Kluyveromyces lactis: one gene and its partners. Each later gene encodes a partner of the first gene's protein in a complex. Links are inferred from orthologs where the notes say so. Each region holds a gene or a part of one and is shown on either strand. Other genes may lie near its edges.

What was found.
Region 2: IML1 (region 1) and RTC1 share a complex: the UniProt entries of both Saccharomyces cerevisiae proteins name them as parts of the SEA complex. The link is inferred for Kluyveromyces lactis from reciprocal best matches to the Saccharomyces cerevisiae genes IML1 and RTC1.
Region 3: IML1 (region 1) and NPR3 share a complex: the UniProt entries of both Saccharomyces cerevisiae proteins name them as parts of the SEA complex. The link is inferred for Kluyveromyces lactis from reciprocal best matches to the Saccharomyces cerevisiae genes IML1 and NPR3.
Region 4: the proteins of IML1 (region 1) and MTC5 are in contact, whole or in part, in a cryo-EM structure (PDB 8ADL), measured with the Saccharomyces cerevisiae proteins. The link is inferred for Kluyveromyces lactis from reciprocal best matches to the Saccharomyces cerevisiae genes IML1 and MTC5. Residues at the interface, in NP_012672.1 of Saccharomyces cerevisiae: Phe292, Gln298, Asp336, Met379, Glu380, Arg382, Lys383, Leu386, Asn387, Tyr394, Ser395, Val396, Ala397, Gln526, Met527, Met528, Gly529, Ile530, Thr531, Asn533, Glu534; in NP_010413.3 of Saccharomyces cerevisiae: His64, Pro67, Trp68, Asn90, Gln91, Lys92, Ile94, Asn104, Ala105, Ile106, Val109, His111, Ser114, Arg115, Asp136, Tyr138, Arg149, Ser153, Thr154, Trp157, Arg158, Arg188, Lys189, Gly190, Ser191, Thr192.
Region 5: IML1 (region 1) and SEA4 share a complex: the UniProt entries of both Saccharomyces cerevisiae proteins name them as parts of the SEA complex. The link is inferred for Kluyveromyces lactis from reciprocal best matches to the Saccharomyces cerevisiae genes IML1 and SEA4.

The regions. Positions count from the first base shown.
Region 1 is NC_006038.1:350,775-355,428, forward strand, and holds the end of IML1 (GTPase-activating protein IML1), read right to left. Parts: coding exon 1,421-4,654; downstream 1-1,420. Other genes in the region: HOM6 (homoserine dehydrogenase), read left to right, coding at 192-225, 353-1,401. UniProt on the Saccharomyces cerevisiae protein: Component of the SEA complex which coats the vacuolar membrane and is involved in intracellular trafficking, autophagy, response to nitrogen starvation, and amino acid biogenesis.
Region 2 is NC_006041.1:1,870,027-1,876,588, reverse strand, and holds RTC1 (Rtc1p), read right to left. Parts: upstream 4,363-6,562; coding exon 397-4,362; downstream 1-396. Other genes in the region: KLLA0_E20989g (uncharacterized protein), read left to right, coding at 1-367; KLLA0_E20945g (sugar porter family MFS transporter), read right to left, coding at 4,849-6,435. UniProt on the Saccharomyces cerevisiae protein: Component of the SEA complex which coats the vacuolar membrane and is involved in intracellular trafficking, autophagy, response to nitrogen starvation, and amino acid biogenesis. May be involved in a process influencing telomere capping.
Region 3 is NC_006042.1:1,679,073-1,685,626, forward strand, and holds NPR3 (Npr3p), read right to left. Parts: upstream 3,762-6,554; coding exon 1,227-3,761; downstream 1-1,226. Other genes in the region: KLLA0_F18216g (uncharacterized protein), read left to right, coding at 1-785; KLLA0_F18260g (zinc-dependent alcohol dehydrogenase), read right to left, coding at 4,345-5,391. UniProt on the Saccharomyces cerevisiae protein: Component of the SEA complex which coats the vacuolar membrane and is involved in intracellular trafficking, autophagy, response to nitrogen starvation, and amino acid biogenesis. Mediates inactivation of the TORC1 complex in response to amino acid starvation.
Region 4 is NC_006042.1:1,823,908-1,830,367, reverse strand, and holds MTC5 (Mtc5p), read right to left. Parts: upstream 3,541-6,460; coding exon 139-3,540; downstream 1-138. Other genes in the region: ARO1 (pentafunctional protein ARO1p), read right to left, coding at 3,800-6,460. UniProt on the Saccharomyces cerevisiae protein: Component of the SEA complex which coats the vacuolar membrane and is involved in intracellular trafficking, autophagy, response to nitrogen starvation, and amino acid biogenesis. May be involved in telomere capping.
Region 5 is NC_006041.1:580,504-586,913, forward strand, and holds SEA4 (Sea4p), read right to left. Parts: upstream 4,330-6,410; coding exon 1,432-4,329; downstream 1-1,431. Other genes in the region: PKC1 (protein kinase C), read right to left, coding at 1-651; NTO1 (Nto1p), read right to left, coding at 4,521-6,410. UniProt on the Saccharomyces cerevisiae protein: Component of the SEA complex which coats the vacuolar membrane and is involved in intracellular trafficking, autophagy, response to nitrogen starvation, and amino acid biogenesis.

The DNA of each region.
Region 1 (4,654 bases):
ACCAGCTTACTTTTGTTTATTCGTTACCCTCATTGATGCCACAGTTTATGCTGCAAAAATGCATCGAGCATTAATGATTCACGCTTAAAAAATCACCACCATATCGAGGTTTGAATATCAATCACCCCTCCCATCTAGTCAATCACCATTGGACTATCAAATCAATAATAGATCTATCAACAGCGTTCAATATGTCTTCCAAAGCCGTCAACGTTGCTGTCATTGGTATGTTTGAGTAAAGATCCACCGTAAAGAATTTCATACTCAGAAATTGTTAGTCGTTCTGGCTATAATATCACAATGCTATGGGTTCAACAAGCCAATAGATTACGTTTTTACTAACCATCCACAGGTACTGGTGTCGTCGGTTCATCTTTCTTGAAGCAACTGCTTTCTATCAAATCCCAAATTACTTACAATGTGATTTTGGTTGCTAAATACTCTAATGCCCTAGTTTCTAAAGATTACTCTCCATTGAAGCTAGACGCTTCTTCTTGGGAGGAAACTGTTAATGCTGAAGCAGGTAACCCAATTTCTGTCCCTGAAATTTTTGAATTCTTGCAAAAATCCCCACTGCCAACCATTTTGGTCGATAATACCTCCAATGAAGAGATTGCCAACTTTTACCCAAAGTTCATTGAAAGCGGTATTTCAATTGCCACTCCAAACAAGAAGGCATTTTCTTCGAACTTGGAATTATGGAACAACATCTTTTCTGCTAAACCATCTAATGGTTTAGTTTACCACGAAGCAACTGTTGGTGCTGGCTTGCCAATCATTGGTCCGTTGAGAGACATGATCCAAACCGGTGACAAAGTTGTGAAAATCGAAGGTATCTTCTCTGGTACCTTATCTTACATCTTCAACGAATTTTCTACTTCTACTCCAAACGATGTCGGTTTCTCTAGCGTTGTTAAAGTAGCAAAGGAACTGGGGTACACAGAACCTGATCCAAGAGATGATTTGAATGGTTTAGATGTCGCAAGAAAGGTCACTATTTTGGCAAGAATTGCTGGATTTAAGGTTGAATCTCCAACTTCTTTCCCTGTGCAATCTTTAATTCCATCTGCCCTTGAATCTGTCAAATCATCCGATGAATTCTTGCAAAAGCTACCAGACTACGACCATGAACTCAAGCAATTGAAAGAAGAAGCCGCTAAGGAAAACAAAGTTTTAAGATTTGTCGGAAAGGTTGACTTCCCTTCAAATGTCGTTTCTGTTGGTATTGAAAAGTACGATTACTCTCATCCATTCGCTTCATTGAAGGGATCTGACAATGTCATTTCAATCCAAACTGAACGTTATACCAACCCATTGGTCGTTCAAGGTGCAGGTGCAGGTGCCGACGTCACTGCTGCAGGTGTCTTGGCTGACGTTATCAAGATTGCAGAAAGATTGTAAGTCTTTTGAATATACAAAACTACGTATATAGATTAAATGACTGGAACGAAGTATACTCGTCCAAATCAACCCTATTATCGATATGCTTTTCTTTAGCCTCTAAGAAGATATCTCTTAGCGATTCGTAATTTTCACAGGTTTTCCTAAAATTCAACATGATCTTTTGGGCATCTGAAGTGAATTTAAGATGCGATGATGCCTTACTACCTATATTACCAGTGTTCATTCTAGAAATGTGAAGGTTGTTCGGAGCCAAAAAGAAATCTCCACTTTCTCTAATTTCAGCCATACATGATCCAGTATAATGGATATATTGTGCATATTTGAACATCGGCTTCCCCCACGAATATATGATTTGATAGCTGTTTGTTTTCTCCGATTGGAAGAATTTCGAAGCTCTGTTGTCAAGAAGGAAACCTGACTTTTCCAAGAGATAGATGTGGTAGAAAAATTTTTGTTCACGGAAAATAGTCTCGTCTTTGAATTCCAAATCTTGCCATGGGTTTATAGCCAGCTTGATGTTCATAAACGAATGGAAGGGGTTGATTTTCGGTATGTTACAAAGTTCATCCCACGGAATTTCAACTAGTTTCAACCCATATCTTTCTGCCAACCTTGACCAGTTGCTAATCAAGTCGTCAATTAGCTTTGGAGTGGCTGTTAACCATTCCAAACGGATGTGGAAGCAATGATCTGGATTATGCACTCTGTCATAATGAGCTATGCAGGTTTCAAGTTTATACGACTTTCTACTTGGATCCAAATCCACAGTGACTGCATTACTTAGTAACACGGTAATACTATGTTCTTCAGGTTTGGTTATTTGGTCTTCTGATTGTTGATTACTCTCAACAGAAATCGTGGGGTCTATAGATTTTGCAGACTCGGATTTATTACTTGTCGAAATCTTTCTCATCAAATGACTTTCATTGCTATGCTTTGTGGAAGTCTTATAAAGAGTTTTGTTTTCTGTGGTAAATTCGGGATTTAACTGATAAAAATAATGCCCATCTAGAAAACCGTGCCTACTCTCAACGTGATGGAAAAGACCTTTATTCATTAATTCTTGTCCATACACCACAGCATCTTCCCTCGTATGAACGTCGGAGAAATGTTCTATCAACCAGTTTACCAATTCAAGTCCGATGAAACAGTTTTCATGCCGTTTCCAATGCCATTTTCTGTTGACTAATTTGATTTGATATACACCATGTTGGAGTTCGTAAGCTATTTTCGTTAGATCAGCATCTTTAGACAAAGTTTCAGCATCTTCCATGAAAATTGAATTCTTAACAGCAGCTCCCGAATTCTTTAGAAAATCATTGTGTTCTTCTATGAAGTCAAAGAGGTAGCCAGTATAGAAAAGTACTTCGGGCAGAATTTCTTCCTTATGTGACCTTTTGTCTTTTTTCTCATGTTCAGTTCTCAATCTGGATCTCGAAATGGAAGAAATGATCTTCCTTAAACCTTCTAACCTGATTTCTTCTGCAGTCAAAGTCTCTTTCCTGCCATTAATTGTTGATTGAAATGTGTTGGGTGGGATCTCCGCCGGAAGAATAACGAATTTGCATCTGAATCGTTTCTGCGTAGCTGGATCCATGATAGTATCATTAAAACCTGCTAGGACTTGATCAATCTGATTCCAATTATAGCTTTCCCTTCTAGTTTTCACTGGATCCAAATCCAACTCTCTATATTCTACCTCGTACCTTGTTTTAACATAAGGTGTGTATTTTGCAAAACTCTGCAACAGTTTAGAATCGTCATGTTTTATATATTTTTGAACATCAATAGTCTCGTCAAAACAGACAATTCGGTGAATTTCGTTATCAATTCTCAAATAAATGCTAACATCCCTATAATTCTCTTTATTGATTAAATGTGTAATCCTAGATCCGTCTGTATCTTTATCTCTGGCCTTCTCTACTCTTGTTACGTTCTTTCCCAAGCAAAATTGAAAGCCTGCCAACAATCTCACGTAAATCATATTTTGTAATAGGTCAAACACACTTTGCTGATATCCTTCCTGTTCAATATTCAAGGAAACAGTGTGATTTCTCAAGGAAAATTGGTGCTCAAAATCGAATGGTGTTGGGAACATGCTTGTGGTCAACGGAAGTTCTGCTGGGGTTGTAAAAGACCGCCACTTGGTGTACTTCTTGGCAACATATTTCGGGAAAACATCCTTCCAACGGTTGGGAATGAGGTAGCTAGCAAGTTCTGCGTCAACAGGAACGGATGGATTTTCTATTTCAATCCAACTATCACCTTTTATTCCATTTTTAGGCTTGTTATTTGGTTTGGATGTCTTGAGAGAAGTCTCACTTAGTAAGAAATTTTTATCTTGTACTCTTTGGTTACCAGAAGACTGTGAACTCAGTATAGATGTTCCGCATGAAGCTTCTTTTTTGTTATCATCGAACAATTGTTTCTGCTTGTGCAAAAGCTTTGGATTTGGGGACCTTTTATACTGAGATCCTGTATCACTCAAAGATGATGAAGAACCAGTCAAATCAGTAGGTTGTATATTAGCTTTTTGGCGGAGGGACGATTGACTCTTTTTAATCGCCAAATCTGGGAATAGTTTAGAGATTATCTTCTGTGTCACACCGGAATTTGCATGACTTAATCTTTTTAAAGTATTTAATGCCAAAGAATTCGTCGCCGTCATTTGGTTCTTGTATTCAAATTCAGTTCGTGGTAAATTAGAGTTCGGAGATGAAGATAGCTGAGCGAACACCTTCTCTTTGAAAGCTGGTTGAAGGACAGCATTAGTGGATTTTGGTTTCATCCATGTGATAGTATCAATGTGGTTAGTATTCCCCTTGGACTTCGATACTGTACGTCTATTCCAATCATTCTTACTCTCTTTAGAAGAGCGGAACTCCGCAGCAAGAGCAGCATCCATATGCATTGAGTAAGGGCCACTCTGAACTTCGAAAGCAGCAGAATCGTAAGATTCCATAAAATCTGATACAGAGTTGCATTTGTCGTTTATTTTTATGGATTGTAAGGCAATTTCCTCTTTTAGTTCAGTTTCAGTTAATCCCATCATTAAAACGTTGTATATTTTACATCTGGGTCGCCATTCAACATTAGCTCTGGAAGAATCATTCCAGAAGGATATACTTAACCAGGTTGGCGTGCAATAATGTAATTGGTCTTTGTAGTCTCTATAACGTAACAACGGAACTATATGAAGCGGTGGACGTGATAGACAAATGAGGTCCATTGTAATCTCTAGAGACATTAA
Region 2 (6,562 bases), on another chromosome or scaffold:
TTATCTTGCTAGAAAATTTACCGATATCTGCGATGCCATTATCCTAGAAAATACTTTCCTGTCCATTCGCAAAGTTATCCCATACGTTTTCCCAATGCTGAAGAATGTGGCATTCATGTGTCATGAAGTCTGGGATTCTGAACAGGAAATTGTCAACATACAAGATGATACTTTACCTTTCTTGTTTCTTGCTGGTTTAAGAGATGAGATTGTCCCACCCCCTCATATGAAATTATTGTATAAACTATGTCCCTCGAGCTGCAAAAGATTTATTGAGTTCCCTATCGGTTCCCATAACGACACGATAATACAAGATGGGTATTGGGTTGTCGTTAAAGAGTTCTTACAAAAACATAACTTGATATAGAAAAGATCCGAATTAACAGGAAATTGACTTCAGAATAAGATTGCTGGGCATCCCAATGGGCATACATCCATGTTTTCGTCAAAAAACCATTTTTTCAAACACTCGAAGTGACCCTCATGCCCACAGTTAAGCATAGAAATAGCCAAGCTCTTCATTGGTTTATTGCAGAAGCAACAGAGAGTATTGCGCTTAGAACATGAATCGCAGTACCAGTATCCAAACCTGGACATAGCACTTGAATTTCCTTCAAGTCTTTCTTTGATTATTTTCTCCTTGGAAGATTCGTTAACTAAAGGTTTATTGCATTTATCACAGAATAACTGAATGGAGGAAAAGCCAGCACTTGAACTAGAAATATCCTCGTAAGGACAGTTTTTCATCAACTCCGCTGCAATCTCAAATAGCTCGTACCGGTGCAATAATTCGGTAAATTCCGCTATAGAATTCTTAACTGTCTCTGTATCAACAAGTTGAAACATATCTTGAAATAATAACAAAATTGCCATCGTTAGTAGGATATTTCCTGAAGCAACACTCTGTTCGTATAATTGATGAATTAATCGCCTTGATGACCAAGGTGGGGTAATAGTATTTTCCAGTTTTTTAGTTTCATTCATAAGAGCAGTAATACCAGACATTTGAGTTGTAGTTTTTGCAACGCTCCCGTTCCATGATTTTTGAGTAGCAAATTCAGATTCCAATATATCTGATACTTCAGTTGCGCTTTTCAATTTATTATGATTCGCGTTTTGCGATTTCTTGCTATTCAAAAATGTGGCAGCCGAAGAGCTAAAGCTTGGCATGGAAGATTTTTTGCTACCAGTACTTTCCCTATCAGCATCAACATTTGACGATCCTGGAGAACGTAATTGTGACATGAAGGAGTCTATAAAAGATGTCCGCGGCCGACGTGGCTGGTGATGGTTTTCCGGATTTGAAGGAATTTCGCTTTGTGAGGAAACATGAGAAGGACTCGGCATGAGAGCGCTAGGCCCTGATTCCCTTCTTGGGATATTAATGAATTGTTTATTGTTTTCATCTTCTTCGAACGCCCTTTTTGTAAGTTCCTCTCTTTCTTCTCCTTCTTCCTCTTCATCAATTGCTAGTTCTGCTCTATCTCCATGAGATTGACGCAGCTTTCTAATTTCGATGATATCGTTCTGTAACGAATTTTGAATCGAGTCAGCCCTCGATATAGTCGTAGTTTCTTTTGAACCTTGAAGTTGAGCCTTTAAATGTGATACTGGAGGAGTTTGGGTTAGATGAGTGGGTTCGTTGAAAGAATGTCTATTATTTGTATTTACCGAGGAGCTCAGATCCGTAGCACTATATGAACTGTAGCCACTAGCAACAGATGCTTGCCTTGCCTCTTTCAAGCTAGTAAAACTGTCATTTTTTTTCCAAGGTTGGTCAATGGACGATTGATCGTTGACTTCTTGGTCAGCTGTCACGTCAACAGCCATTGACTCGGTTAGGACTTTCAAGTCCCATAATAATGAATCCCGCATTAGAAGCCAAATTTTGTAGTTTGAAAAGTCCTCAAGCATGATATAAATTTCAGCGTTCTTATCACATAGAGTTATCAGTTCGATGAGGTTTTTGGTTTTTACCTGGTTTGAAGAGTTGATGCAGGAACTGTTCTCATCCTGATTGGTTTCAGCTTTATGATTCGTAGCTGATTTTTCGATATTAGCACTTTTGTCAGAAACTGGTGTTTTAAGCTCTGTGCCTTTCGATATGACTTCGTCAGAGTCGTGAGATTTCGTATATTTGATCAAATGAGTCCAAGTATTATTTTCAGATAACCCCAACTTTTCCATCAAATTCGTTTTAGAATCCACTGAGCCATGTGTGCTCGATGAATCAAGCTCTCGGCCGTTGTCTTTTGTTTCAATACTGTTATATTTATACGAAAACTTCAATTCCCGTGCTAAAAACTTGAAAACTTCAGTTGGAGATGACTTTAATTCTAATAAAGCTGCACTTTCGACCTTTCTGTTAAATTCTGCGAGCCTAGTGTTCCGTATTGTGTTCAAAATATGCGGAAAGTCTAATCCTATCAAATATGGAGATTGTAGAAAGGAATCATTAACCGCATGTAATGCCGATTCCGATCCTGACACGATTGAGTTATGATGAGGGGACGAATACGGATTGGTCCACGGCGAGCTGTTAACCGAAGGCGAAAATTTGCTGTTAACGGATTGTGCATGCTTTGACATAGTTGACCTTTCACCTAATACGTTGCCCTGGTGAAGTTGAGACATGCCAAGTGTCGGGTTTTTTGAGAAACTTGCGGCACTGCTACTTGTGTTGCTTGTAATGTTAGGATTATTTCCTCCAGTAAAACTGTTAGCAGTTGCACTACTCATTCTGTGTGTGAAAGGCATCTTGCGATTCTCTCCACTACCTGGTGTCAAAACTGTCTCTTCTTGAGACAAATACCCACCTGGTTTTTGGTCCAAAAACAGAATACCATCGCCATCCAAATCTCTCCATTTTATTGTGTTTTTCGGCAAATTATCAAGTACAGTCGGTTCATGAGAGATATCCCACCCAGTAACGGTATTTTGCTTGTCTATATTGAATATCGTGTCGTCATCCCACCAGACAAAACCAACAGAAGGTGCACTGGAAGCAATAACGTTTTTAGGAATATATTTTCTTGCTAGCGAATAAACAGATACATCCGAATCTTCGCCCATGGATGAAGTCCCAATCAATGAATTGAATACATTCGTCTCATATTTTGGACGAAACTTAAGTTTATTCATGGAACGAGCGGTATTTATTGTGAGCTCAGGAAATGCAAGGGTGTTGGATAGCCCCAAGGGGTATGATGATGATAAATTATGCGTTGCTGGATTACTTGAATTGAGGTTGGTACTACTAATGTTACCAACTTGATTAGATTTGTCGCCTACATACCACAAGCAACATTTTCCGTCTCTTCCACCACTAATAATGTAGTCCTGATGCGGATGCCAATTCAAACATAAGGCGGGACCAGAATGTGCATTAATCTTTTTTTCAGCTTGGTTTGGTTGTCTCAAATCAAACTTCAATAATAATCCAGAGTCATGCACACTGGCAAATTTGAAATGTCTGTTTGAAAGACCATTGGTATCATTAGAAAACTCGTAAGAAGGCATCCATTTTACGTCTCTAATGGAATCAGACCCGGTGTTGATACTTACATCACTCCTAGTGGTGGAGATTTTAGGAGATCTCAAATCCCAAATCTTTATGCATCCATCTTGTCCACCGCTAATTAATAAGCTTGTCTGCACCATATTGAAATCCACACTATTGATAGATCTTGTATGTTCTGAGAGAGATGTTACAACTGGATTGTCTATCGCTGATGTCTTATTAATATCGTAAATCGCAACAGACGTTGAAGTACCACAAATTGCTACATAGTTTTTGTGATTGTAAAAGCCAGCTTTAACATCAGATATGGTTGAAATTTTTTTTGTTGTTCTCCGTAGTGTCGATGAAGTGTTCTTCGTGATCCCAGTATTTGTCTTCGCTGTCTGTAAGAAATCATGTACATTAGTTATCGTCTTAGAATCTTCATCGAAAGTGTAAATACCTAAATGGCTTTTTCCTGCTATTATCAAGGATCTGCTCTCCGGTGAATTGATTTTATCTATACTTGAGACTTCCTTTCCGATACTCAGAGAGTATTTAGCGCCGTGGAAAGTTCTACGTTTGTCAAATGAACTTTCAGAAGGTCTCCATCTTGCATTTGATTCTTCTTCATTAAGAGAGCTCTCTGGTCCAACATTTCCCGTACCATCAAAACTGAAGGGAGTGCGGCTATCTGGTTTATACTTAGGTGATATCCTAAAAGGTGAAGTTCCAAAACCTGTGTTGTACTGTCGATGAAAAGAGTATCGTGAACTTGACGACTGATATTTCAGAGAGGGAGGATTTTCTGGTTGCTGCCCTTGAGAAGACGAAGTAGCTCTGTTTGAACCTCTTTTAAACATCGTTGAGCAACAATACTCAGTGCTCTCGATCACCGGTTTATTTGGCTTACAACCAATTGCTGGATTTTTGAATCATAGTATGTGAGTGCTTTCATATTTTCAATTACATATTGCCATCTCTTCCTTTTTTTCTTGTTGAGTAAATATATGAGGAATCAGGAATCATCTTCGGTGATTGATAAGTGAGAGCCCGATAAAACAACACAAGAGTAAATAGAAGTATTAAGATATCACAGGGCTGGGAGACAGAAATGCCTTGTTATTAAAATTCTTCTGAAATAATTACAAATTTAATGCCATTGAGACACTTGTAAAATGATACGTAATGAGAAAGTTAATAGGTTTTACACAGTGAAATTATATGAAGGAGAGCGATTCAAGCGCACACTCGAACAGAGAAATCGGGAGGCTTCAGTAGATTATGTGAACAGTTGAGCTCATTGTAAATTTCTTTGTTTGTAGAAGTATACCTGTATGGTCCATTGCCTATTGCTTGTCAATAGAATACAATGCGTCAACCTGTTCAGGAGTTTTGTTCTTAGTTTCCTTCAATAAGAAAGTGAAGAACCAGAATGAGACAAATAGACAACCAGCAAAAACGAACCCAAACTTGAAGCCTATCTTATCAGTGACATATGGTGTGCATAAAGAAATGAAGAAGTTGCAAAGCCAATTGATTGAGGTACACACTGCCATGGATATCGCTTTTGTCCTGCTTGGAAACAACTCCGAAATGACGACAAAGGACACAGGTCCCGATGTGCATGCAAAGAACATGATGTAAACACACGTGAAGGTAACCATAATCGCACCAGAGTTTTGAGGCGACTTATTAAGTGCGAACGATCCGACTGACGCATACACGGACATACAGGTAAACATACCCGCGGAACCAAGAATTAAGCATGCTTTTCTGCCTAACTTTTCAACTAAATAAATACCGAAAAAGGTAGATATGAAGTTGACAGAAGACAATAAAATCGACGTTAAGTATGGGTCTTCAATTCCCACAGAGTTGAAAAGTGTTGTACCATAATAGAAGAAGTAATTTGCACCGGATAGCTGTTGAAACGCCATCACCATAATACCAATAAATAGTCTAAAACCTAATCTTGGTTGACCGAGTATGAATTCAAACCTGCTGTTCTTCATATCATTGTGAGTAGATACCTCCGCGTCAGCTGATTCCATCATCTTCCTAATATGACTATCCACAATTGGATCATCTACGTCCAAATTGTTCATATGGGCAAAAGCTGCCTTAGCTTTGAGAGCGCTTCCTAACCTCTTGGTAAGAAAAACTGGTGATTCAGGCATAAAATGAACACCTAGCGCGACGATAGCGGCCCAGACGTTTCCTAATCCTACAGGGATCTTCCATGTGGCATTATCTGTTTCGTGTAAAGTGGATCTGCAACAATAGTTGATGACATTTCCGAGCAAAATTCCAAGAGTGATCATTAACTGGTAGAGCACAACCATGGCACCACGAATGTTGATGGGAGCAGATTCGGCTATAAACATTGGTATCATCACCGCAGTAGCACCAACACCAAGTCCTGAAATGAACCTTGCGAAGAAGAAATACCACCAAGAGGAGCCACATGTCCAGCCAATCAATGTTCCCAACGAATAGATAGTGATTGCAGCATAAATACCTGGTTTTCTTCCATTAATATCAGCAATCTTCACTAGAAATAATCCACCAAGTGCGCAACTGATATTGAAAATGGAAACGATTAATCCAATAAGAAGTTTTGGAAAGTAGTGTGTATTACTCGAAGAATCAAAGTTGGTACCAAAAAAGTTTTGAAATGATACCATGTTTGTAATCCCACCAATTGTGCCAACATCCCAGCCAAAGATAAACCCTGCAAAAGAAGTAGCCAGACACAATAATATTGGTTTCAACGGTAACTTTTTCTGTTCAATTCCACCTGACTTAGTGTCATTCTGAGATAACTGACTGGTTAATGATCCAATGGCTGAGTAATTTGTCAAAGATACCATTTCCTTTGTGACTACCTCAATTGCTTTTTCAGCAGTTTCAAATGATTCTGTATCTAAGGACATTTCAATTGTTGATGTATGACAGCTAGATCCTTGAAGTTTTGTTATCGACACTGGGTGATTTTGTAAGTTTAAACTTATTAGGCGTTTCTAAATGAGACCTTTGATCATTCTTGAAGACGAGAATACG
Region 3 (6,554 bases), on another chromosome or scaffold:
AACCAAATCTGCCATCTCATTATGTGTATGCTACGATACAAGAACCAAGGAGAAATACTATAAACTCAGGCTCATCATCCTACCACAACCATAATCATGTTTTCGTTGGCAATACTGGTTCACAAGGTTTTTATAATGAAAATGGTAACCAGTATGTTTATGGCACAGAAAGCAAAAATTATCCCAACAAAACAGACAATGGAGTTGAAAAAGAAAATGCTTATCTAGAAGGTCCTCAGCAAATGCATAGTACCCACTTCAATAGGTCAAAAGACGATATCGAAAATAGCACAATTGAAGAAGAAGATGATGAATATGAAGTCGATGAAGACAATGATGCAGAGGACACACATTTCTTAGAACACGAGTCCAACTCATCATTCACAACTTTCAGCGCAGGCACTGGAACGTTCAAACATAACAATGCGCATAACACTGGTTCTTATCAAAAGAATCATAGTTACAAGAAGCGAAGAAATGTAGATGCACCAAGGCATGGTAGGATGGATCCAAATTTCTACTACGGCCCGCCAGTGTACTACCCAATGGAGTACTGTCCACCTTCTGGTAGCCCCGTTGGCCCTCCGCCCTCTCACTTGATTCAGCCGGGCGCTCACTTGACGGGACAGTGTCCACCTTCTCAACATTCCCCATTCTTTTATTACTTCCCTATGCCACCTCCTACACCGACATTTACTAATCCATTCCCACACGAACACCCTGGCGGTATGAACTATTTGGATAATTCTGTCTCTGGACATGATAAAGCAGACCTCGACTATTGAATATGTCATTTTCTTTCTACTTTTTTTTAGCGTAATCATTGCACTATCTTAGGCCCTCCTAGTGATTAACTCTTTTTCACCTTCTTTTTAGTCAACCACAGGGCATATACTCGGCACCGTCTTATAATATGTTCCCCAGTGGCGTTTCATTTGTACATGTCCTTCTCTTTTAGATAAATAAACTTAAGATATCATCTTAAACTTTACATGCATGGCATATATATATAGATATGTTTTCTGTTCGAGCTTCTCCGGAATTACAAACTGTTATGGTTACAACATGCAAAACAAAAAATATAAAACACAGTGAATTGATTAGTTATGACATAAAGTTATGCAACTCCAAAAATGGCTTATTATATAGTACTTAATTATTATGCATTGACAAAATCCTGTGCGTAGAATCGATTAGAAGAATAACAATGTAAGGGGATAGGGCATTTACCAGTGTTTTACTTCAACGATGTACTTACCTAAGGCCTGAAGCAATCTTTTTATCTCATTTTTAGGAATACCTTCCTTAATCATAATGTACTCCAAAGAAACCTTCCCATTAAAGTATTTCACCACTTGTCTAAATAGCGTTTGAAGATCAGTAGGTAATGCCTCAGCACATTTGTACAACCATCTCTTTTCTAATGCAGTATTACGTTCTGGTTCAAGAATTATAGTGAAATCATTATCGTTGATCATCTCCAAATCATCAAACTCACTGGAGTTATAATTTTCACCTCCAGTAACAAAATTACCGGACTTTTCGTGTTTGTTCGATCTTAAGTTATCCTTTTCTAGATCCTCATCGACAGCTATTTTAATGCGCTTGTCCACACGTACATACACAAACGTCAATAATTGAGTGAGGTATCCGTACCTCATGAGCCATGCCAGGGCATTCAAATACATAGATTTATGTTCATTGGATGGTATGATATGCCCGAAAGGTCTGGGTTTCTGGGTTGACATAAGTTGAAGGAACGATGGCAAAGAAGGTAAGGAGGGAAATTTTTCATTGAATACCTTCTTGTTTTGGTATATCAACGACGGTTCATCGTTGTTATTCACAGGAACTTCTTGTTGTCTTATTAAGGTGTCGTATTCGCCATGTTTGAAGTCATCAGTTGAAAATCCTGAGATTGGCGCCAATGGAGAAACTATATATGTGTTTCTCGATGATATTGGCAGTATCAAACGGGCGTGACGCCAGTATATTAAATGTAGACATAACGACTTTAAAGTAGTTTCACAGAATTGATCATCATATGAGGAATCATTAGAATCGATTAGCTCTTTAATTAATAATTTATATTGACCAAGCCTTATAGTGGGCTTCAACTGTCTTACAAGGTTGATCAAAAGTAAATCAGTAACGCCGTTATCAAAGGAAGCGTTTTCAAGCCCTTTTATAATATTTTCAGGTTCATCGAGCAAAAGCAATCCATAATCTAGAAGCCTGTCGTGGTTGGCATACAAATTATCTGAATCTTCGTTTGTCAAGCTAGTGCTTCTACCAATAAAACTTTCGTTTAGTATTGAGGATAAGAAAGATCCACGAAGAACAGCATCTTCTTTTAAATTTGGAAGAATGGAAAATTCATTTTTGATTGGAATCTGCAAGGAAACAATTTTATCACCATCAATTTCAAGATTAGCAATTTCATTGTTATGGATGCAATTGAAACATTTTGTTAACGCTCTAGCTAGTGACGATTCGTAAAGAATTCTTTCATACATATATTTTCCTTTAGACCAGGGAGATTTTAAAGACTCATAATATCGAGAGTGTTTAGAAACTTCGTCCTTACACTTCATAATTTTCACGCATTCCCTAGTGACATAACCGGTTTTTCCTTGTATGTACCTTAAAATCAATGATAATCTAGTCACCACGTAATGATACATATCATCGACTCTTTCATTATATTCTATGATCTTTGGGTTCATGATGAAGCAGACCTGGAACATGTTTATACTCTGCTGCAAACTTTCGAATTCATCATTTTCCGCATCAGGCACACAGTACATTTCATTAAGCATTTCTGATTTGGATGGTTCATAATCACTATTCTCATCATCTGCAGGTTCTTCAACATCATTAATGTGTCCTTGACTCTCTGTTTTAGATCTGTTTCGACCAATACTATTTCGACCAACACTATTTCTACTAATACTGTTTCGTGCAGTGCTACTTCTAGCCGAACGTTTGGAAGCTTGCTTTCTCTTCTTTGATTTCTTCCATCTTCCTTTGTGATCCGCGTGAATTGGCAACCCTAAGAAACATAAGTCATCCACAGTGAATTCAAATCTGGTGTTACACATCTCCTTTCTTGGAGAACAGAGTTCAGCTACAAATTCTGTATTGAAATTTAGTACTTTTGAGATATCCTGAAATGTATCCTGCTGAAATATTGAACCATCTAGCAAATCGTCTACCAAGATTTTCAACTCTTCATCTACTGCATCCAATTCATCTTCTGGTCTCGGATCAGTCGTACTAGACATATTAGTCGATGTTCTAATCGAGTGCAACGATTCCCTCAACGAGTTTTCGCCATTGATTGCAACATTGTTATTATTCTGATTTAGCACTTGAAAGAGTTTATTCGCACTAATCTGAGATTGACGAGATCGTAGACCATTATTGATAAATGTATTGTTTGTACTGCTGTTTACAGTATCCTCATGATTTGATTGTGGAAGGGAGTCTAACGATGATTCTGATGCATCAGATGAACAATCTGCATAGTCAGTCGACAACTCGCTATCACTCAAACCTGAAGAGTAGTCATCTGAAGACGAATTGTTTTCAGAGTCCGTATACTCGTATCTTTTCTTGATATCTGGGTGATGCGTCTTCTTCGAATTGGTCGCAGTAGCATAGTTGCTTGGTGGATAATGATAAATTAATTGTGGACCCGAATGAGTTGAAACAGTTAATGCGATTTGTACTAAGCAGGAATTCGGTAAATTCGTGGACATTGAGCTATTCCTATCTCTTGGAGCTTCATAGACTGCTGAACTCTTAGATTGAGGGAAAGATTCTTTCGAATTAGCAGTTATACCCCAGTACTTTTGTATATTAGGTGTTTTATCAGTTAATCAAGTAAAATGACTATCGTATTTTCATATTTTTCATGTGTAGATATTTCTATAATAATAAGGGAAACTATATATGACTGGAGAGACAGCACAAGTAGACACTACGAAATCTCCTTTGGTTTGTTAATATCGGGGTGTCGTATATGCTTAAGTTTTTGGAACAGTAAAACTCAAACGTTGCTGAATGTATTTGAGGGCTTTTAATTTGTCGTGTGGTGTATGTTCCTGCAGTTTTAACTTTCAAAATTAGATAAGAACAAACAGAGATTAAAATATTGTCTGCTAAGAAAGTAGGATCGCGTAATCGATACTAGAACATCTCAAAAGGTCCTGATGTTACTACTATTATTCTTGAAAGTTTCATTAAACGTAAAATATAGTGCTATTGAAATCAATTATGTATGAAGGGATTCAGAGCGAGAGAAGAAAACCGGATTCATTATCGAACCATATTGAAGTAAAATTATTTTGAGGTGTCGACAACGTATCTACCAACGATTTCACCCTTGACCATCTTGTCATAAACATCTGCCAATTCAGATAATCCGACTATCTTAATTGGAGCATGCACTAAACCTCTTGCGAAGAAATCTAGAGCTTCTCTGGTGTCAGCTCTGTTACCGACGTAAGAACCAACAATGGAGACCGATTTGACAACTTGTGTAAAGACATCAGACTTACATTTGGCGTCCCTTGGTAGACCGACCAATACAACGGTACCGTTTGATCTAACGTAATTGGTGGATTGTTCTATAGCAAATTCGGAGACAGAGACGTTAATGACACCGTGGGCACCACCGTTAGTAGCGTCAACAATTTCTTTAATCAAATCCTTAGAGACGGCATAATCGACGAAGTATTCACCACCTAGCTCCTTGAACAACTTAGCCTTTTCAGCACCGGTATCAATACCCAAGACTCTGTAACCCATAGCCTTGGCGTATTGGATAGCCAAAGAACCTAGACCACCACAGGCACCGGAAATGGCAACCCAGTCACCGGCCTTCAAGTCAGCAGATTTTAGAGCCTTGTAAACGGTAACACCGGCACATAGAATTGGAGCAACTTCAGCCAAATCGGTACCCTTTGGAATTCTAGCAGCTTGAACGGCATCAGCGGTAGCATATTGTTGGAAAGAACCATCGTGGGTGTAACCAGACAAGTCAGCATCGGGACAGTTGGATTCATTGGACAATTCACAGTATTCACAGGACATACAAGAACCGTTCAACCATTTGATACCAGCAAAGTCACCAATGTTCCAGCCCTTGACATTTTCACCCATAGCAACAACGACACCAGCACCTTCGTGACCACCAACTAATGGCAATTTGGTTGGCAAAGGCCAGTCACCCTTCCATGCGTGCAAATCGGTGTGACAGACACCGGAGTACTTGACGTTGATCAAAAGTTCGTTGGCCTTTGGCTTTGGAACTGGAATGTCCTTGTATTGCAATTCACCACCGTTTTCGTAAAAGATAACACCCTTTTGAGTTTCAGGAATGGACATTTTTTAATTAATATTGATATTCTTTTTAGCTTGATTGCTTGTTATTCAGTATGATAGCTGATGGTGATTTATGTAACTAAATGTGATTGGAAGAACGACAATTATTACGATCTCAACAAGAGAATTGGAAAATATACTAAAATCCATCCCCTTATATAAGTTCTAATTTCATTTCTTTTCAAAAACCTAACCCCATCACTTTCATAGTTCTACCCTATAACTTTGTGGGGGCATCCTTTAACGGTTTCTCCAGGCCCGTGGTGAGCTTTAGACAGTATAAGAATCCAGTGCTATGTCTAGCTGGCAAACAAAATTTAGGGGAACCTCGATGCCCATATCTAAACTAAGCTGAAAAAAAAGAAAGAAGGGAAATCGAGATAGATTGTGATTCTTTGACAGAATTCAGAATTCAACATCACCTGTTGTTGCATCGATACGGTCTGATCAATCGGAACTGCTCGGTTCCATCTTGACCGATTAAATTCTATATGGGGATTAGAAGCCAAGGAACAGCCAGCCATTCGAAACTTAGGACAAATAATCTAGCCGACATGCGACAGAACTGGATATAGAAGAACATAATTGGCAGAGTTTACGCAGACTACCAGAACAGAGCAGGACAGAATATGGTACGATATTGATCGTGCCATATACACCCGTACAGACCATACAGACCGTATAGTGACTATTGAAGGTCTATTATTGGTAGCCTTCAAGTGAAAGAAGGACCCACTGGCTGCGACATCCACTAACGTGGAAATAGCCTGACTCTGTGAGCTTCCCATTTTTTGCTATCGAATATCACAGGTAAAAGGCACCCCACAAGAGAGTATCTGGATTCCTATCATTTTGAAGAAGATATGAACAGAAAAGTGGCAGCCTGGATGAAGCATATCACTCGGAGAAAAGTGAAGAAGACAGGCAGCTGCGGATCTTTTTCAGTGGGGCAGAAGAAAAGCCTAGAAAAAACTTGTATGGAGGAAAAAATGCCAATTGCCTATAACGATAAGACCGGGTAATAGACATATGTTTTTCCGTTATCACCCCTCATTTTGAGACTTCTATGTTCTTCACACAAGATGTGAGCTGATTCAGACCATAGGATTCCCAAAATTAAGGGTTGTAATGCATTTTCACAGGTCTCTGGTTCACGACCTATCCCA
Region 4 (6,460 bases), on another chromosome or scaffold:
TTGGTTTTCTAGTTCTTTCAGAATTCCGGAAGGTTTATCATCTCGTTTAAATATCATTAAAACCCAGGAAAGAAGGTGTATCAACGACTGATGGTTAAAAGAAGATGAACGATAAGACACTGCTACATAAGATGCATTTTATATAAGTGGTTCGCTGACATCGAAGTTCTTTATACAGTCGCAACTACACCCAGAGGGGCACTCATCGCCAATTTTCCACCATTTTTCTGCGCAAGTCCTGTGAGTCACGTGCTGACAATTACCGCATACGAACACCAATCTACCGGCTTTGAGGCCACAGTAGCTACAGTTTTGTTGAGTGTGTCCGTGGTTAGATTCAATCCACCTATTCGATACACCTTTGTAAATATCCAATCCCGAATCTTGTTCGATCCCATGCAAGTATTCAGGTTCTGTGTTTAAATTTACATTAAACTTCAACAACTCGGCCCTATCCATAGGCAACCCCCATATATAAAGTATCTCTGCATATTGCGTTCTATATTGTCTGAACTTGGTTTCACATTTCGGATCTACCAACGAAGGTTCCAGACCTTGGTAGGCAAGATCCAAAACATCGTCATGAATTAGTTTGATCTTGATATCGGGAATTGTCGCTTCAGTTTCTACATACCCATTGTTCATATTATTATGGGATTTCCCGTTCTTGTTTCCGTTAGCATGATGATTTTGATGGAAATAATCATCAGATATGATAGAAGAGCCATCGTTCAATGAGGCTTGATTGGTGCCATATCTCATTCTCGCATTTTGTGTACCTGTGTCATTAGAGTAGAACGATCCGTGAGTGGAATGAACATGTGGCGATGGCTCGTATTCATTGTTATAAAATGTAATGATGTTTTCTGATAAAGTAGGCGGAACTAGTTTATAATTTGTTTTCTGATCTGGCCTTCCAAGCGTAGCAAAGATGCAGCTCATCATTGCAAGCATTTGAAGATTTTGGCACTTCTCAAAATACTCGAATAGTCTTTTCACTAAAAGTTTACCACCCAATGAATGCTGGTCCCAATCATAATTGTAGAAATCGTTATCTCCTCTTCCTATTAAAACATTAGAAATCATTCTCCAGCATTGCGCGATATCTTCATAGCCGTAACTTTCCGCAATGCCTGCATTGTACTTCGCAACAAATTCAGGAGTTTCCCGAAATAAAATATACTGTTCAGCTAGCTCTTTTTTGTCGGGAATCAAACTTTTAAAATCTTGAACGACTATAGATGACTTGCTTTTTTTATTTGAATCGGTGGTTTTTCCGGATACACTCGTAGTAGATTTCGTCTCATCACGGAATATGCGTGGCATCATTGGCATCCTAGTCCTTAGTGTGAGATCATTTTTCAATATATCATCCAAGAACTCAGCATAGCTATCATCACTATCATCTGAATCCGAATCTGATGATTGATTTAGTGATTCACTGGCATGTTGTGAGTTTATGGATAGCGCTTCTCTATAAGTTTTTGGCTTTCTTTGTTTTCCCGATACGTTATCCTTCAAAGTTTGTGACGCACTCTGGACATTTTTTGATCTCACAAAACCTCCAATACCAGTTCTACCAACATTGATTATGGCGTGTTGCTTTTTTTCAGTTTTATTCTCAGCTCTAAAGAAGCAAACAAGGGTTCCTTGAGCGGTCCAAACTGCTCCACAACCGTTGGGGACAGGTGTGCTATCAAATTTTGGTTCTGGTGTACTAGAATACAATTGCAAAGAACCATCCCCGACAGCGAATTCAACATCTGATACAGAAGAAATCTCTGTAGGAGCATCGCTATGATCATCAGATGAACCCAAAGATGATCTATCTAAAGAAGTTACATCTTCGAAATCAAAGCTGAAAATTTTATTGTCGTCCTCCATGTCGGAAATATCCAAGTTAACTTCTTCTCCAAGTAGGTACTGTAAACACGGCTCAAGGCAATATCGATTTGCATCGACATATTTTTTGCTGATTTCTCTTAGTCGTTCCATTATCTGAGTTTTTTGATGTTCTTTTAATTCCCTGTTCTCTTCAATCTTGAACGCAGGTTCATTTCCTTTCATGGGGTAGTTTGGCGGGAAGTTAATAATAATACGCATGAAAATGTATTTTTCTGGATCTTCTTCCACCCATGGACCATTTAAAGTAATAATTAACTCTCCTGTCGAAACCGAAATTTTTTCAAAAACAATTCTAGGGAACTTGTGCCCAACGGAAGTGACTTCTTCTCCAAGATTGTTTAAACTCACCTCTTCAAATAGATCATGCGGTGAATCTTCGTTATGCATTCTCACACCCGAAATCCATTGTAGTTGATCTATATTGTTGTCAGCTTTCCATTGGCGTAGTCCGGATTTTGTAACAAAGGTTTCCTTCGGAATTTCTATATTTGTGTACCGGGGATCTACTATATTATTTTCAGGTTCTGATCTAAAAGTGTCGTAATCATAATCTGGTAGCTTCTCCGGCAGCTCTTTGCCACATTCGTAGTGAACTTTGTCGTAAACCATATCGGGTACTGGCCATAGTCTTAAATCGCAATCTTTGGACCAAGTAACCAATTGGAATTCTCTGTCATCAATGATGGTATTTTGACTGTGCCTCGATCTCCATAAGAAGTCCGTGACTCTATCTGTATGCCCCTTGAAAACGTACGTTGGCTGTAGTTTGGTAGTCCTTGACTCAGAATTGCCTGAGTCATGAAAAGAGTTCGCCAAATATACAGAATTATTTCCTCCTATCATCGGCATGATGCAATATCCGTCCCCAAACGGGAGATATCGTCCTCTCCACACAGGAAACTCTGTGGTAATTGTCATCTGTAGTTCATCTTCAACTTTATTATAATCCCAGAACTTTACCGTTCCGTCATTCCCACTTGACATGATTTCGGTTTCGTTGAATGGATTGAAGTCGATGCTATTAACGCTTCCGCTATGACCTTCTAATACAGATAACGGAGATGTACCCTTTCTTACATCCCAAACATACACGATATTCGAGTGCGAGGTTGCTAATACATTGGAATTTTTGTGATTCCATTTGACTTGTGCAGCACCAGATCTCCAGTTACTGGTTCTAAAATAAGGCTTCTTGGGGCTTCTCATATCCCAAGCCAGGGCGTAAGTATCAATTGAACTAGTAGCTAGGATTTCTGGTTGCAACGGGTGGAAATTTATATCTGTAATGGCTCTGAAATGGCCATGTAATACATGCTCCACTGCTTTAGAAGAGCTTCTAGATAGATTCCATACAATTGCTTTTTGATTCGACGTAGATATAACCCAGTGATGCTTGGCCGGATGCGGGCACCACTGCACGTCAGCAACCTCCCAAGACGTGAGATGGTGTAACCATCGAGGCTCTGAGAAAGGATCATCCAAGTCTACCACATAAAGGCCCTTTCGACTGGCTAATACGACATCTCTACCAGATGGATTGATAGAAACAGCATTAAATCCACCATCAACCCGAAGAGAAAGTGATTTCCCGAAGGTTGGTGATGAGTAAGGACCTTCCCCTACGTATTCAGACATTCAATCTCAAAGTGTGGCTTATATCGAAACCTCTAAAAAACACGAACCTTACTAGAATTCAATATACGAATGATGTTTCCTATTGAATTGTGCTTTGTTTCATTATATATTCATGATTCATTTTTTCCTATCAACAGTTAATAATGCTTTAAGGAATATTAACAAATAGTGGATTAGACATACATAAAAAGGGGAGTTAGAAAGCTATTATTAATCATTCGTGACGTTATTTGAAGTTTAAATGTATCTAATGTTTTATCTATTCTTGGGTAACTGCATCAAAGATAGCTTTAAATGGTGGTTTTGCACCTGTCCATTTAGAAAATTGTTCCACACCTTGATGAACCAACATTTCAGCGCCCGGAACGATATTCCAGTTGAACTTATCACGTGCGAGCTTCATGATAGGGGTCACTGAAGGCTTATATGCGGCATCTAACAAGGTTGGTTTGAAGGAGCTATTTGTACCTTTTGCCAAAAGTCTTTCCAATTTGTTTAGTAACTCTGGATCTAAAGGCTTATCAGCTGGAACACAAGAAACAGCAACAGAAACTTGTTCCTTAATTGACTCTGTTTGTTCGGCAGATTCGACGACAACAATCTTATATTCTTCGGAAAATTCGGATTTCAGCTTTTGTAGTTTCTCCGTGGTTCTGTTGAGCATATAAATGGTGTCACAACCAATTTGTTTCAAAGCGTATATAGCAGCTCTTGAAGTACCACCAGCACCGATAATCAGACCTGCAGAACCACTAACAGAACTAGGAACACCATTTGAAACCAAAGAGTTTTTGATACCTAACCAATCAGTATTGTCACCCCTGAATTTGTTCTTTCCTAAAGGAATAACAGTGTTTACAGCGCCAATGGTCTTTGCGGCTTCGCTCAATTCAAACATACTATCAATAATATCTAGTTTTAATGGGATGGTTACAGCTAAGCCACCGAGATCTTCTCTGGTCAAAAGTTCTTTCTTAACTACTTCGATATCTTCAGTTTCGAATTTATCAAAATGATGAGGTAAGCCTAGTAGCTCATACCCAGTGTTGTGCAAGATCGGAGATCTGGAATGTCCAATTGGAGAACCAATAACAAAGAACTTCTTGGCTGGTAATCCACCGATTTGGTGATACAATTGGTTGATTTCAGCTAGTGTCAATTGACCAGGGGCAGCGGCGGATGGTAGTAACTTGGAGGTAACAGGTGTCAAAATATTATTTAGCACCCTGGATAGCTTACCTGTTTCAGTCATATTGATAGCAATTAGTGGCTTCAAAGTATGAGTGGACCTGAATTTTTCCAAAGCCAAATTGTCATCGAAGCTTACTGCTGTGCCAACGAACTTCACAATGTCCACGTCTAAAGAAAGAGCTTGGTTATATCTATTTTCCCATTCAGCATCATCCCATGGGAATTTAGCTGCAAAATCATGATGGGAGCCAATAATCTTTGTGTTTGATTTCTTGTTCAAAACATTGTAGAGTATGTTGTTAGGCAATGTCAACTCTAAATCGATGTATTCAACAGCGTTCTTCAGAGCGACCTTCAACAATGATTCAAGTAAATCATAATCATCATCTTGGAATTTCCCTCCTTGGCTAACTGTTCTCACAGTGAAAACAATAGGTAGCGATTTGGTTGCAGCTCTTAACAAGGAGATTTGTTTGGTGACAAAGTCTGAAGAAAAGGATGATAAATGATCAACTCTTAGTTCTACTGCTTCACAACCATAGGTTATTTCATCCAATTTTGACAAATGATCCGATAGGTCTTCGAAAGTCAAACAGACGAAAGCTGATCTCCTGGAAGGTACAGGAATCTTTTCAGCGCCAAGTACACGACGAATGAAGTTGCTGAACACATGTCTTAAATTCCTGAATTCAATTTCATTGGAGCAATGAGCCGCAAAGAAGGTAAAGTTCGAACATTCATGGTACCACTTTTCTCTTCTTTCCCACACATCGCGAATTTCTTCAATGTAAGCTGGTCTAGTTGGGTCGCTCTTTAGGAAAACGATTGTCTCTTCGATATCACGGTGAAGATGTAGGACGATACCGCCGCTTTCGGCAAACCTCTTCAAAGCCTGTCTTGATTCTGATCTTTCAACAATTCCACCGCCAGAAGATAACACATAGCCCTTGTCACCGTATTTGTCTACCGCTTCCTGGAATATCCTAGTTTCTTCCTTTCTGAACTCATCCCATCCAGATTCTGCTACAAAGTCTTTCACAGTACCTTTGCCGTACTGTCTTTCAAATTCCTCATCTAAATCAAGAAGCCTGTAACCCAAGGACTCAGCACACCACTTGCTGACAGTACTTTTACCAGCCGCTCTCATTCCTATAATGACTACACTTTTTTTAACTTCAGATGATTTTGTTGTTGAAGGTTCAGCGCCGTCAAGTCTTGCACCCAATTGAGAATGTAGGACATCCCACCAACCAGGCCATGTTTTACCGGTACATTGTCTCTCCAAAATTCTAACAGATGATTCATCATCCTTCTTATCAGAATTAACCATACCAGCCAACAGTGAGAATGACATAGCTACTCGATGGTCGTCGTAAGTCTCAATTCCTGCATCAGATGGTTGTCTCAATTCCGAGATAGAATTAACACCATGAATTTGAATACCATCAGGTAATTCATTAGCCCTCACACCGAATTTTGCTAATTGTGTAACCATGGCTTCGATTCTGTTACATTCCTTGACTCTTTGATTGGCAATACCTTCAATGGTAGTAGTGTTTGTGGTACCGTTATTACAAATGGCAGCAACCACTGATGCCGTCAAAAATGCATCAGTCATCGGCTCCATATCCACGTGCTTTAAAGGTTTTAACTGACCTCTTGGTGGACCAGTCACGGTAGTTGAGGTTGCAGTCTGAGTAACCTCACATCCCATTGGTCTCAAAACATC
Region 5 (6,410 bases), on another chromosome or scaffold:
AATTGCAGTAACACCGATAGTCAGAGTACCTGATAGTTGTTTTCTCCTAAACTTTGGTTGAGTTGCTTCTTCTGTGTGATCATTGAAAGGATCGATATCAACGTTGATGGCCTGATATTTTTTCAATGATTTTGTTAAGAGCTGAATCCTGTGTTTAGATTCAACAGATCCACCTTGTGCAGCACTGCTACTCCGCTGGTCTCCATCAATTTGGTAGAGTTTAGTTAACTTATCATTAGCCTCTTGATATTGCTTTTCAACTTGCAATTTGAACTCCAACTGCTGGAGCATGTATTGAATTCTTTGCGACAAAGATGGACAATCGTACTTTACCAGATCTAGTCTAGAGTATCTAAACTCATCTGGTGATATTGTAGATAGCTGACCAAAACCGGGATGATTGCTAGCATTCTGGCTGGTAGGAGTATTGTCTGGCTGTTGACTGACTCTCAACTTAGCTAGAATTTGTTCCAAGTACTCTATATTTTGTTGAGCCTCTCTAATATTGGTGTTGCATTTCTGTATGACCATGACATTATCAGTCTTTTTCTTCAATTGATTCGAACCCAGTATAATGTTTCTTTCCCTTTCGATCTTTTTGTAGATGTCCTGTTCAACAGGGAATGCAGTGTGTTTACGATCTTCATCCATAGTTTCATACAATAGTAATATCTTTTTATGCTCAGTTCAGAGTGTTCATACGTTAGATGGCTAGTTGGTGCCTTATAAGTTCATGAAATAGAATCAACGCACCACTTTGACAGGATCTGATCTGAAACAATTTCAAGCTGTGTTCGCCCAGAATACCAATATTTTAAGATCCCAAACCACTGAGAAAAAAATGTTTGTAAGAGAAATATTCAACGAAAAAAAAAGTCCCAACTAAACTGACTTAATAAACCGTTGTTTATAGTCGTTCTTTCCTTTAGTTTTTGGTATCCTTAAAGATATTGTTGAGATCAAAAAAAACCATATATTTGTTTGTATCTGGATAGATCAAACTTTTTATTTTCTTAGTTTCGCCACATGATTTCCTGAAATAGAGCTCACGCATTTCAACTGATCGGGGAATCTTAACTAGTCACGTGAAGAGGCTTGCGCTCATGCGAATGACGGTGGGCAATGATGGAAAAGATGGCTTTAAGTTCCATCGCTGAACCACGGTCCATCCTATAACTCGATGAATATGCTCGGGGAAGTTTTCCAAGTATGGTACTGCGTTGCTAGTATCATTATTTTGTGGATGCGTAATGATTCATTCTGAAAGCAACGTTCAGCCGCTTGATATCTGCATATGAGATATTTGTATGTACTAATAGTGGGAGAAATGAGTTTTTGGCGAGGTTAAGGATTAAAGAGATTATATACGCTGAATAACAAGTTTAATGATTTATCCTAGAGCGTTTAGGTCCGAAATATTGGTAGAGTGTTTCATTGATGGCATAAACACGAACACCCAGGAACAGGACAAATTGAATGTCTTTCAAACCATTCCTCTGCATGACCGGCATGCATACCATGATTACACTTGAGACAGAAACTGAACCATTCGTTCATTTTCAAACGCTTTCTTTCCTTGACCTCGTTAATTTTCGCGTCGTCATCGATTCGTACTTCACATGAGTTGGTGGTGCCATTGATGACTATGGGGAGATTTGAAGTACCCAATGGCAAGAGACAAATAGCACATCTTGGGAAAGGCGTGCCACAATGTGGACATGAATGTTTCTGTTGGGGGACATCACCGTTTGTATTATTGAGGCCGAATTTCTTTCCTGCATTTAAGTTTTGATTAGCATGTCTTGGTAGGGATGCATTAGAAGACACATCAATGGGTCTGTTGATATTCTTCTTACATTTGGAACATTGTAAATACATTTGACGAGGTTTTAACTTCGCTGTAATTCGACCATCACTAGTCCTAGATAATTTTGTCTTGAGCACATCGAACTTGGCCCTCATAGTGAAAAATTCCCAGGAATTTAACATATGGCGATATGTTTCAACCCATTCATCAACTCTTGGGTCCATGAAGTATCTTGGGGAGCCGAAAACTGAAATTAGTGCAGCAGTTTGAATATCACTAGTCTTTCCAACGTACGATTGTAGAAGATCAATACCATTAGGCGTTATACCAGTCAAGATCAATCCTTCTAGTTCACCATTTTCAATAACAGTAGTAGCAGTTTTTTCTAAAAATCTGGTTAGATCTGTGTCATTTAGAAATCTAAGAGCAACACCAAGCCTTTCCCTTAGAGAGATAGCGCTCTCATACAGGATATCCCACCAATCATTGTCTGCAATGAATGCAAAAATGACTCTCAAATAGGGATCATCAAGCTCAGCAGCCATTTTTCTACATTGCTGTCTCCATGCATTGTCACCTGGCTTTTCACTATAAGCTTGATAACCTGCAATGGCCGCAGCAATGAGTCTAAGACGTTCTTTATTTGCAGATCCCAAAATAGATATAGCTTTCTGAACGTCACCGAAGAAGACAGCCCAGGCAGCAGCTTTCTCATAGTGATTTTGAGCTATTAGTGATTTATATTTTTCTTCGTAATCTGAAGGAGACAAATCCCAGCCACTAATAATCATACAGAGTCTTCTCTGAATGGCCTTTTTTGATGACATTTCGGAATTTAAACTGGAAACATTCCCAATTTTGTTTTTACTCTTGCTTCTCATCTTAATGATCTTCTCCAATTCCTTGTTTAACTGCTTTTCTGTGAGCATTCCTCCAGATCTATAACGATTCTGATTGGAGAGACCTTCAAGACCATTCCATATCCCTAAAACGCCTTCGTAGCCTAAATCTAAGTCTCCTGAAACCATTGTTCCGTCAGCTATGGATGCCTTCGCTATCGCCATCCATCTCCAAGTATTGCGAATGTAGATATTGTTATTGAAGTTATCGGATTTATCCATCATTTCGACAGTTTTCATTGGATCAAGACCATATCCCAGACTCGCGCGTTTACGCATTATAAAACTTATATCATTCTGTAACAGCTTCTCTGCCTCGATGTAAAACTCTTTAACGTCTTCAGAATCACTCAAGTAATCGCCGTCATCTTCCATACTTCCGGATGATTTTTTTTCATCCAGAGTTAATATCTTCAAGTCATCTCCTGTATCCAGGTCTTCGAAAGACAAGTTTTTTAGCCCGGTATCTAAATTTTCCAGCAATGAAACTTCATCCTCACCTGTTATTCTCAATTCGTTGACATCATTGTTTTGATCTGAGATAGACATTATGCTATTGTAGTTATTGATTTTCGATTGTGAAAATCCTTGTTCGACATTCATCCGATAGATAGTTCCGGATTGTCTCATGCATAGAAGACTTGTTCTGCCAGTACTCTTGGGTATATAATCGAAGGTAACAACACGATCAAAAGTCGTTTTAATGTCATTCACCGTGGAAACGAACAAGGAATCATTTAGTTCGTTATTCGACTCTAAATCTGGTACGTTGGCCAATCTCCAGCGTTTAATTGTAGTGCCTGCGTGTAATGTCGAAAACTCTCCACTTCTCAATGGAGACCATCTGAAACATGAATTCATATATTTTCTAGAAGCTGCACCATGACCAACAAGTTTGTCAAATTTAAGTAATGGTTGTGCCTCCAAAAACTCAGTGTCTTCAGAGTTACTTGCTAGCTTTCTTCTATCCCAAAAGGCCAACGTACCATCGTCAGCATATGTTGAGAATTGCCAAGGGTTAAAAGGATTTATCTTGATGTCATATGAGACACGAGTTGGATGCTGGTATATAGGATTAGGAGCTCTAAGGTCAATTTCTTTCAAGAGTTTTGAACTTGCAGCTAAGATGCTGGTATCGTCGACAAATTTCAATGACACGATACTTTCGTTCAAACAATATGAAAAAGATGGTGTGATAACATTTGATTCCGTGCTTTGGTAGTTTACATCCCACACCTGTACAGAGGCATCATGCTTATTGCGATCTAAACCCATGGCTATTAGGCCATTTGTATTTATACTCAAACTGTTGATAGTTCGCTGGTGCTTTGCTCGTACTCGTAGATCGAACGGCTCGTATGCATCGTCCGTATCCAAAATATTAAATAACCGTACAACACCGCTTTTCTCACCGACACCTACTATACCTTCATCTGTATTAGAGTAATCTAGACATGTTATATTTCCAAAGTCCTTTACTGTATTCACCTTAACGATGGACTCGTCTGTCTCCACATCCAGCTTCACTCGGTAATGAGAAACTTCATCTCTTGTAGGATTAACAGACAAAAAATCCAACCCTTCCACATTTGGCCAACAAGGAACGCGTTTAATCAAGCCCATGAAGTAATACTGGTGGATTGGCCTCGACAGATGCTTTACTACATTGAATACCGTAATATTATTTGATGCATCTTATCACTCATTCTGAAGTTATCTTGAAATAATTTACCGTATATAGTTTTATTACCCGGATATATGTACATAGGAACAGGAGAGTTAAGTACTGAGTGAACGAAAACTTGATGGATAATTCAGTCACGTAGTAGTCCTTTCAATTGTCTTTCCTGTTTGATCGATAAATCTTCAACATCAGCTAGTCCTTCGCGTGCAAGTATTTTCCGGCCCTTCCAATTAACCTCTTCTACTTGATGTGTTCTCTCATCTATATCGAAATCGTCATGTAATAAAGTATGTACATCTAACTCATCAATCTTAGATAAAAGTTTGTTAAGATCGTTGATGAGCTTAGATCCCATTATTACCAGTGATCTCGGTGACCTCTCATTGGATGTTATTTTCACTATATTTCCAACAAATTCATCCTTGAATTCTTGGACAGATAAGTATTCATCATTTTCAAGCCTGGAGCTAATGTAAGGTATGACCTTGAAATTTGAAGATGATTCGAGGTCTGCAAAAGATTTAAAAGATAAAGTCTTTGTGAGATTGTTCCACACAACATCCTTCAATATATACCTTATCGGATGGAACGCAATGTCGTTTATGATCCTTTGGTTTCTTACCCTTTCAACATTACATTCTTGTTTAGCCACCAAAGATGATGCAAGACCTTCCAATGAATTGAGGTCTCTCAAAAGAACTTCTGAGAATACGATTCTGTCATTTAGCTCTTCGGTATCTAGAGTATTCAAAGAAGATGGGCTGAACTTTCTTACCAAAGGAGCGCCTCTTTTGAGTTCTCTTTTCATTGTCCAGTACTTGCATATATCCAACGAAATTTGCTCGGAATTTGGAACATGAAATCTGTTTAAAACTCTCATTGTAATATCTGCGAAGGCTTGAGGTGCAATTAAAGTTCCCCTACTGGTTTTCCATTTATTCTTAATGGTTTTCTTGGCAGATTGCTTGTTTTCTTCCACGGCACTGTCTTGTAGCACCTTGTGATGATTAATGTGATTAAAATAATCCCTAGTTTTACGAATTCCGTCTTCACAGCTACTCCAGCCGTTAGGAGAATGTTTGTGACAAAAACTTTCCAGGAAAGCACCTGTGGAAAAGTTTTTTGAGGCAGCCTCTTGAACTGTACATCCATTGAAGTTCATGTATAATCCAGCTCTTTTAGCGCACGTAGTGTGATACGCTGCAAAACAGTTCTTATTCGAGCATTGGATGCAAGCACCGACCTCTTGTTTGCAAATATAACATGTGAGCTTCCATCGACTTTTCGGGATATTCTCTATTCCTCCAATCGGCTCCATATAGTGTAGATTTCCGAAATAAAGCTCTGGTATCCAAATTCCACATAACACATGGCCCCACGATCCGTTATCCGTTTGTTTGAAAGCTCCAGTGGTACTGGGACAAAAGAGACACTCGAGCTTTCTATTTTTGGATATCATGCATCTTCGGCAAAGCCACTGACCTTCTGGAATGAAAACTACACCATAGCATTCCTGATGTACGGCGATATCGCAACCATCGCAAAATACTATCGCATTCGAATTATCACATTCTATGCCTCCACATACTGCACACGGTTGATCCATTGGGTATCCAGTACCGTCGTCTGATCCGTATAACTCATGATGCTTCCAGGCAGCATGAGATTCATGCGTATTATTAGTAGCACTAGGTGATACTCTTGGTGGAATTTTCTTCTCTAAATGGAAAGCTTCGTTCTCTAATATCGTAATAACTATTTCGAAAACTTCGTGTGATAACTTATGCTTAGAATTTGTCAGTGCCGTATTTAAGTGCCGAAGGAATAAGTCATCTTGCTCATCCATATCATACTCTACCTTAAAATTAACCTGGTATGGCGAAACATCAGCAAAAAACTCATTGCTATGCTTCATCAATAGATCAGTCTTCTTACAGTATGACTTTTGATCTAATCCGCAAGTACGATCTGCATGAGATCTGTATCCGTATTTTACCAACTGTTTATTAACCTTGCCATG